Alligator mississippiensis: one gene and its partner. The protein of the gene in region 1 interacts with the protein of each later gene in a pairwise test. Links are inferred from orthologs where the notes say so. Each region holds a gene or a part of one and is shown in the gene's direction. Other genes may lie near its edges.

What was found.
Region 2: the proteins of FAM161A (region 1) and SSX2IP interact in binary tests that used the Homo sapiens proteins (3 or more experiments, as listed by UniProt). The two-hybrid records come from large-scale screens. The link is inferred for Alligator mississippiensis from reciprocal best matches to the Homo sapiens genes FAM161A and SSX2IP.

The regions. Positions count from the first base shown.
Region 1 is NC_081824.1:212,487,409-212,491,155, reverse strand, and holds the start of FAM161A (protein FAM161A), read left to right. Parts: upstream 1-1,143; 5' UTR 1,144-1,188; coding exon 1,189-1,314; intron 1,315-3,747. UniProt on the Homo sapiens protein: Involved in ciliogenesis.
Region 2 is NC_081828.1:28,256,230-28,259,976, reverse strand, and holds the start of SSX2IP (afadin- and alpha-actinin-binding protein), read left to right. Parts: upstream 1-1,220; 5' UTR 1,221-1,371; intron 1,372-1,878; exon of another isoform or gene 1,879-2,012; intron 2,013-2,196; exon of another isoform or gene 2,197-3,747. UniProt on the Homo sapiens protein: Belongs to an adhesion system, which plays a role in the organization of homotypic, interneuronal and heterotypic cell-cell adherens junctions (AJs).

The DNA.
Region 1 (3,747 bases):
TTTTTTTCTTTAGAGGCCCCTCATATTGTGAGGCCCTAAGCTGTGGCTTAAGTAGTTTAAGCCTAAATCCAGCACTGAGCAGAAAGACAGGGGGATGAGACAGAAAAACCCCAAAAAACTGCATACCCATGGTAGAAAATAGGCATAGCTATGCCTACATCATCCCCAACCAGGGTGTTGAACACCTCCAGGGACCAAGAGCCCACAGCTCCCCTGGGCAGTCTATCCCCCTGCCTCTCTGCTCAAACGCTGGAGAAATCTTTCCAGATATCCCGTCTAAACTCATTTGGCTTCAGTTTCAAGTCCTCCTGCTTTAGGCAGCCCTTCAAAAGCATTGGAAGACTGCTCTCCCCTCCTTTCTGGAAGTGTCTTTTCTGCAACCTGCTGCATTTCTTTCAGCTTCAATCTTCACCTGAGTAACAGCTGAGGATTGAAGTCAGGGCTCAAGTCATAGATTGTAAGGGGCTGGAAGGGACCTCTGAAGATCACTGGGTCCAGCCCCCTGCATCAAGCCGGGAAGACATCTGGGGTCAGGTGACCCCAGCAAGGTGCCCTCCAGTCTCTTGAATATTTCCAGGGTGGGCAATCGCACCACCTCTGGAGGGAGCTTATTCCAGTGTGGAGACACTGACTGTGAAGAAATGTTTTCTAGTGTTGAGCCTGAAGTTTGTGTTTGTGACCATTACTCTTGGTTTTCCCCTCAGCTGCCCTGGAAGTCACCGAAGGGGAAGCTGGGGAGCTTATGGGGAATCTGAGGAGGCTGAGGCCCCCCCAGGAGACAAGAGCCCCCCCTGTAAGATTTGAAAAACATAACTTGGGGGCGGGGGTCTCCGATTGCACTAGGGCCGCGTGATGGGCAGCCCAATTTGTTTTACAGAACACCCCTCAGGAGTTAAAGCCTGATTGAAGCAACGGCTTAGGAACGAAACAATCGCAAACTCTAAGATCGGCCCCGCCGCACTTCTCAGTTCTTTTCAGCTGGAGAAAAGCCCCCAACCGCGGAGTGACCTGCCCGAGCCCGCTCTGCAGCCCACACTGGCGCCACCGCTCTGCTCAATGGGGAGGGTCACGTGACGCCGAGTGCCCCGCCCCCACGCAGGCGGGCCCCGGGGGGCAGGAGGAAGCCCGCCCCGCCCCGGGGGTTTGTCCCGGCGGCGCCGCCGTAGCGTCCCAGGCAACCGCGGCGCCATGGACGCGGCGCACCGAGCCGCGCTGCTGGTCGCTTCCTGCCTGCACACGCCCGTCAACGCGCGCACCCGCGCGCCGGCCGCGCTCTACGAGCGGCAGCAGGGCCCGGTCGCCGCCGAGGAGCAGGTACCGCCCCGCCCCCGCGGGGGCCGCTTTAACCGGCCACGTGCCGGGGCGGGGGTAGGGACCGGGCCTGCCAACCCGGGGGGCGGCGACCGGCACGGTTAAGGAAAGGTTGGGGGCGGGGGCAGCCTAGACTTGCAGCTCACAAGCCAAATCATTGCTGTTGCAGTACATATGGGCACACATATATACATGTATGTGTGTGTATTTATGTATACACGTCTGCACATGTCTTGTGCATGTGTACACGTGTGTGTGTGTGTGTGTGTGTGTGTGTGCAGGCATGTACACCCCCCCCAAAAAAAAAGAGAAGTCAGGCCAGGAAACGCCTCCAGAGGTCACCTAGTCCCACCCCCCCTACCCTGACACAGGATCATCCCTAACCAAACCGTCCTACACTATCCATAATCTTAGCCTTAACAGTAGCTAACATCCTGCTTATGGCCTTGTCCCCACTTCAGAGGAAGACAACCCCCCCCCCCCCCACCCCCCCAGCCTGTACCGATCTGTGCACGGGATACAATTTCTTCCTGGTCCCAAATACAGCAATTAGTTTGATCCTGCGCAGAGGGGCAACACCCACTAGCTAGGAATGTCTGGGTTTAAGTCTCAGCGGGAACACTGGCAGACCCAGTTGCAATCCCCACCTATGGCTGCAGCCAACACCCAATGCTTTTAAGGAAAACTTAAAAAATAAAGCCCTGGCATGCAGCAGAAACAGGGGGTGGGGAGGCCATAATTCCTTCCCATTCCCTTGCTGCAAGCAGCAAAGCCCAGAAGCATGGGAAATACCCATAGTACATAGGCTGTGCCTACATCATCTCCAACCAGGGCTGTCCAGCATCTTCTTGAACCCCTCCAGTGATGGAGAGTCCACAGCTTCCCTAGGCCGTCTATTCTACTGCCTCACTATTGTAATGATAAGAAGTTTTTCCTGATATCGAATCTAAACCATCTTTCCTACAACTTCAAGCCACTGGTCCACATCCTTCTCTCTGCAGCTACAGATAAAAAGTGTTCTCCCTCTTTTTTATGGCAGCTTTTCAAGAATTTGAAAACTGCTATCATGTTCCCCCTCAAGCGCCTTTTCCTTAAGCTGAACATAGAATCATAGAAAATTAGGGTTGGAAGGGACCTCAGGAGGTCAGCTAGTCCAACCCCTGCTCAAATAGGACCAGCCCCAACTAGATCACTCCAGGCAGGGCTTTGTCAAGCCAGGCCTTAGAAACCTCCAAGGATGGAGATTCCACCACCTCTCTAGGTAACGTGCACACGCACATATACACACATATATATGCGCACACATGCACAAATATACGTGCAGATAAATATATACCCATATACACACATGTATATACATGTATATGTAGCATAACCTTTCCTGAGCCCAAGTTCATTTCATCAGATCCTGTGAAAAGATGTGCAAAGCAGTGTATAAAACAGAGAAAATTATCTGAATACTTAAAAATGAAAGGTAGGAAGGGAGGGAGGGAGGGGAATAGAGAAATAGAGGAGAGGTCAGAGATGAATGTTACAACTGTCATTAAGCAGCAGCAAAGCTAGATAACTTTCCTGATAATCAGGGAAATCATGAGTACGAGAGAAAGGGAAGTGTGAAATGTGTGGTGGTGAAAAGCAAAGAAGACTTGGAAAAAACTGAGAGATTTCTGGGAAGTAGGACAAATTGTTGCTGCAGAGATACGGAATACGTTGGAAGCTCAGCTAAATGATCCTGGAGCCCAACACCTATTTTTCGGAAGAGCATTCATTGGGGGGCGGGCAGAAGGGGTAATATATAAAATATAATTTTATTAATTTCATTTTGTTTTAAGAAATCCTCATAATACAATGTGCTGGTCAAGAAAGGTATTTATATAGTTGGTGGTGTCCACCCAGTTTGTCACCGTGCTTAAAACAAGTGCCCTCAATGTTTCTATAGCTGCAGCAAGTGGCAAGGAGATCTTGTTCACAGTGTCTAAATTCCCTAGGCAAAACGCATCATTAGTAGCCCCATTCAGAGGAGCCCTATCCCAGAAACTCCCGAGAGACTGAATCAAGGGGTGGCCCCAAATTCACCTACGAAAGTACAGGTTAGCATGAATTTAGTTAATCTTGGCTAAGTTATGGGCATTGCTATGAGTTGGTGAATAACTTTTACATTTAGAATAAATACAGACTTTGAAAAGAGCATTTCTAAAATCTGAGTGACAAATAATGTAGTAGTACACATATACACACAGCATGCTGTCTTCCTAATTTAGAAAACAGATGGTAGTACTGCATCACTTGTGCCCTCACAAATCTCTTAATGAGCTTTCTACATGCAAGTGTCTGAAGAGTGGATTTAGTTTATGTCCAATTCAAGAGAAAAGACCAGGATCTTCCTATATGGATTTATTTATATATACAAGGTCAAAAGAAATGCAAGGAGGTGTA
Region 2 (3,747 bases), on another chromosome or scaffold:
ATCACTGATATATGTCTTCTATACAAGTCTGTCCTAGTTTTCTCCTCCGAAACAGGTCTGAAACAAACAGAATCTGCAGTATAAAGTCCAAAGTCTTTGCTATTACTCTTTAAGCCATAAAATAATAAATATCTTGCATACTGTGAAGAATGATCTTCCTGGTTTAAATTCCTTTAAAAATGTGTGTATATATTCTTTTTTAAAGAAATATCTACTGCTATGGTGGCCAAAAATATACAAAACCAAAACAATAGCAAATATTTCTACAGTATCTACAAAACAGTAAGGTTGTGCTTTCTCCAAAAGGACTGAGTTTACTAGCCTTGTAAAAATGTTCTTGTCCCCTTGCCTGGAGGAATCTTTTTGTTGTTTTTAAATCAAGAAAGGATCCTTAGCTTTCTATCCTGATGGTAACTGGTAACTGTTGTGTTTAGGAGGGTTTTTACGTTAGTTTTGTAAGGCGGATGTTACTTTAGCTACAATTATGCCATCTACCGACTGATTTTTGAGCACGTTCTTGAGCTAAGTCAATCCAAAGTACATTCAGTGAATCGCAGTCATAAGAATTCTTGTCTTTAGGGATATCAAAGACGGCAGCAGCAGCACCAGGGTGCCACCACAGCACCAGCAACACGCTGGCCCCATAACAGCCCTGTGGGAGAAAATATTTGGGGGGCTGAGTAAAAGGGTGCCCACCTGCACCCCACCCCTCTCTCCCACAGGGCTGTTGCGGGGCCAGCGTGTTGCTGGTGCCGTATGTGGTGCTGTGGTGACACCCTAGTGGTGCTGCTGCCGTCTCCAGCTGCTACACAATTAATTTGGGGGAAACTAAGCCCCGTTAGCTTCAGCTTTCTGCCATCTATGCTGCTGTGGAAGTGCTGGTCCACAAACAAAAGCAACATTGAATGTTGCCTCTCATATTAAAAACACAGGGAAAGAATCGGTGCTTGACAAGTTCAGAGAAAAACCATGAATGTCACATTTACAAAAAAGGGCATTGTGAATAAAATCACATCACCGACTCAGTTCTCATCTTTTAAAGCTTCTGTATCCCGTTCCTCTCGCATCTTTGCTTCCAAGGCTTCCCCAGCGGTAAGAGCAATCCCACCCACCAGGTGGACGGCTTCGCTCCTGCTTTCCCTGCCGGTGGCCTGCATGGCTCCTCCTCACACACAGGGCGGGCCTCCAGTCTCGGGCAGGCCTCAGACCCTGCGGGTCCGGCCCACCTGGGAGCTACCCTACCTGGTTGTGCTCTCCCCTGCCCATCCAGCTGGAGCAGGATTTCCCTCGGGAAGGCCGAGAACAGCCCCTTACCCTGGAAGGAGCTGAGGAGTCGCGGTCAGGAGCAGGGGCGCAAGGAGATGCCGCTAGGTAAGTCAATACAGATCACAACTAAGCTCCTGCCTCGTCTGCCTGTGTCGAATTGAACGCACTTTGCCACGAAGGCAACAGGCTGCTGAACTGGAGACCGGGCCCTGTTGGGGAAGTGTTCGCCAAGGCCGAGGGGGCAGGGCGGCCGCGCCGCCAACAGGCACTGGAGCAGGGAGGCGCGGGCTCTCGCCTGCCTCCGGGACCGGGCGAGGAAAAGGGAGGCGCAGCGCGGGCCCGGCCCGGCCACGTCTGGTCCCCGAGGCAGCCCCTCCCCGCCTGCGGCAGGTGCGTGTCGGCCCCCGGGCCCTTGTTGCCGGCCTCCTAGCAACCGCGCGGCCAATGGGAGCGCGGGGGGGCGGGGCCGGGCCGGGCCGGCGGCACCCGCGGGCTCTGGGCTGAGACTCGCCTCGCCTAGTCTGCTGCGCGGGTGAGTGCGCGCGGGGCGGGGCACGCCACGGGGGGCGGGGCGTCCAACCGTCCTCCCCTCTTGGCACCGCCCCCGGCACGTGCGCCCGGGAGGGGGAGGGGAGGCTGCCCATTGCTGCCGGCCCAGGGAGGAGCGGGCTGCGCCGCGAGCCCCTTCGGTTCCGGCTCCTCCAAGACGTCATTGTGCTGGGCCCCATGTGTGACGTGGGCGTGACGTAAGCAGGGCGCGGGCACGTGGCGTTTTGGGGGTGCCGGGGGGAGGCCGCGCGGCGAAGCGGAGGCCGCGGGACAGGTGGAGCAGGGCTGTGAAGCGGGCGGGGCTCGGCTTGCGGAGCACAAAGGTCTGGGCCTGTCGCCAGGTGTCGGAGGCGCGGGAGGGCCCCGGGGGGGACAGCCGAGCGCCTTCCCTGGAGCTGAAAGGAGGAAAAGCTCCGGGTGCCGCAGGGCTGCGGGAAAGTTTGCACTAATCCGGGCAGCCGGGCGGTCGCAGCACAGAGGATAACTGGCCGCCCGTTGCAGAGCCGGCTGGCGGAGGGTGTTGGTGGTGGGGAGATGTGTGTGGCACCTGCGGAGTTGCAGACCTGGCTGCAGCCTTGGCAGGATTCATTTCTCCAGCAGCAGCGGAGCGAGACGAAGATCCATGGTCTGTGAATGGTAGGAGGCAGCAGGGTCGATCCTCGAGACCACGGGCGCCGGCCGGCTCCATGGGTGCTCTGGGGCTCAAGCATCCACTGAAAAAAATTAGCCAGTGCTCAGCATCTCCAGAGCTGCCTGCAGATGTTAAAAAACCCCAACAAACAAAACTCCCGGTGCTTTATGGGAAGAAGCAGCACACGGCTTTAACCTGGCTCTACAGCGTCTGTAAAGATGGAGTGCTTCAGTGGGGCTTTTTGGTGTTTTTAGCTAGAGGTGATTCAGTCTTTACAGACCGGGTAGCAGTAACACACTGCCTCTTCTGGATATGCATAGGGCTTGGCACGGGAATGGTCCTGGGTAAAAGTAAAGAGCCATTTTTGTTGTTGTTTTTATGCCTGCAAGCACCACCAGCCACAAAAAAAGGTGGCACCTATGCTCGAGGCAGTAGGGGATGCAGCGGCGCCTAGTGCAGGTGCGTGGCACGGGTAACTCCACACCTCCACACGTAACATCAGTAAAGAAGTGGAGGATATGCCTTGAAAGTAGTGGGGCGGGGGTGAGGACTGTAGTGAAGCAGTTGTCCAACTGTTAAACATATAAGTGACTTAGCACAGATATAAACTTGCAGATTTCTTTTGTGATTGTAGCTGTATTACAGATCAAGACAAATAAACCTCTTATTTGTTAAATTAGTGGAACTGATGAATACAACTAGGAGCCTTCTAGCAAGGGTGTAATGTACTAATAAACTAAATGAAGACTATACAGGCCTGCAGGCTGGACAGATTAGGACTTGTGTTTTCCAAATTTACTTTGGAGTTGACTAGGTTAGTTTGCTATGTCAAACTCCTGAATTAAGAATACTCGTAGAATGTAGAAAAGTGGTGGTAAAATGTAACCCGTTACCCTCCAGGATTCATATAACTAATAATGCTCAAGTAGGATCAATTTCTACAAACTAATATAGAGTCTATAAATCTCTAGAATTCATTCTGTCCATAGGTAGTGTCACTAAAGCTATAATGAAAATCATTATTTAACATTATTTTTAACATACAGAGGTGGTAATAATTGTGAGCCACATTATTAAAATGCCTGTAGCAAAAATAGCAACTGTCAGAAATGTGGAGGTGGAGGGAATACTTGGATTTTCAAGGTTACTGCATAAATAAAGCAAATGAGTTGCTTTTTATGACATTTTGAAGGATAGATGTAAAAATGTAAGCTAATGACTACCAGCAGGGCTCAAATTTACATAGAATCTATTTGTTTTGTTTCATCCAGATAGCCATCTGTGGAGGCGATTAATAGATA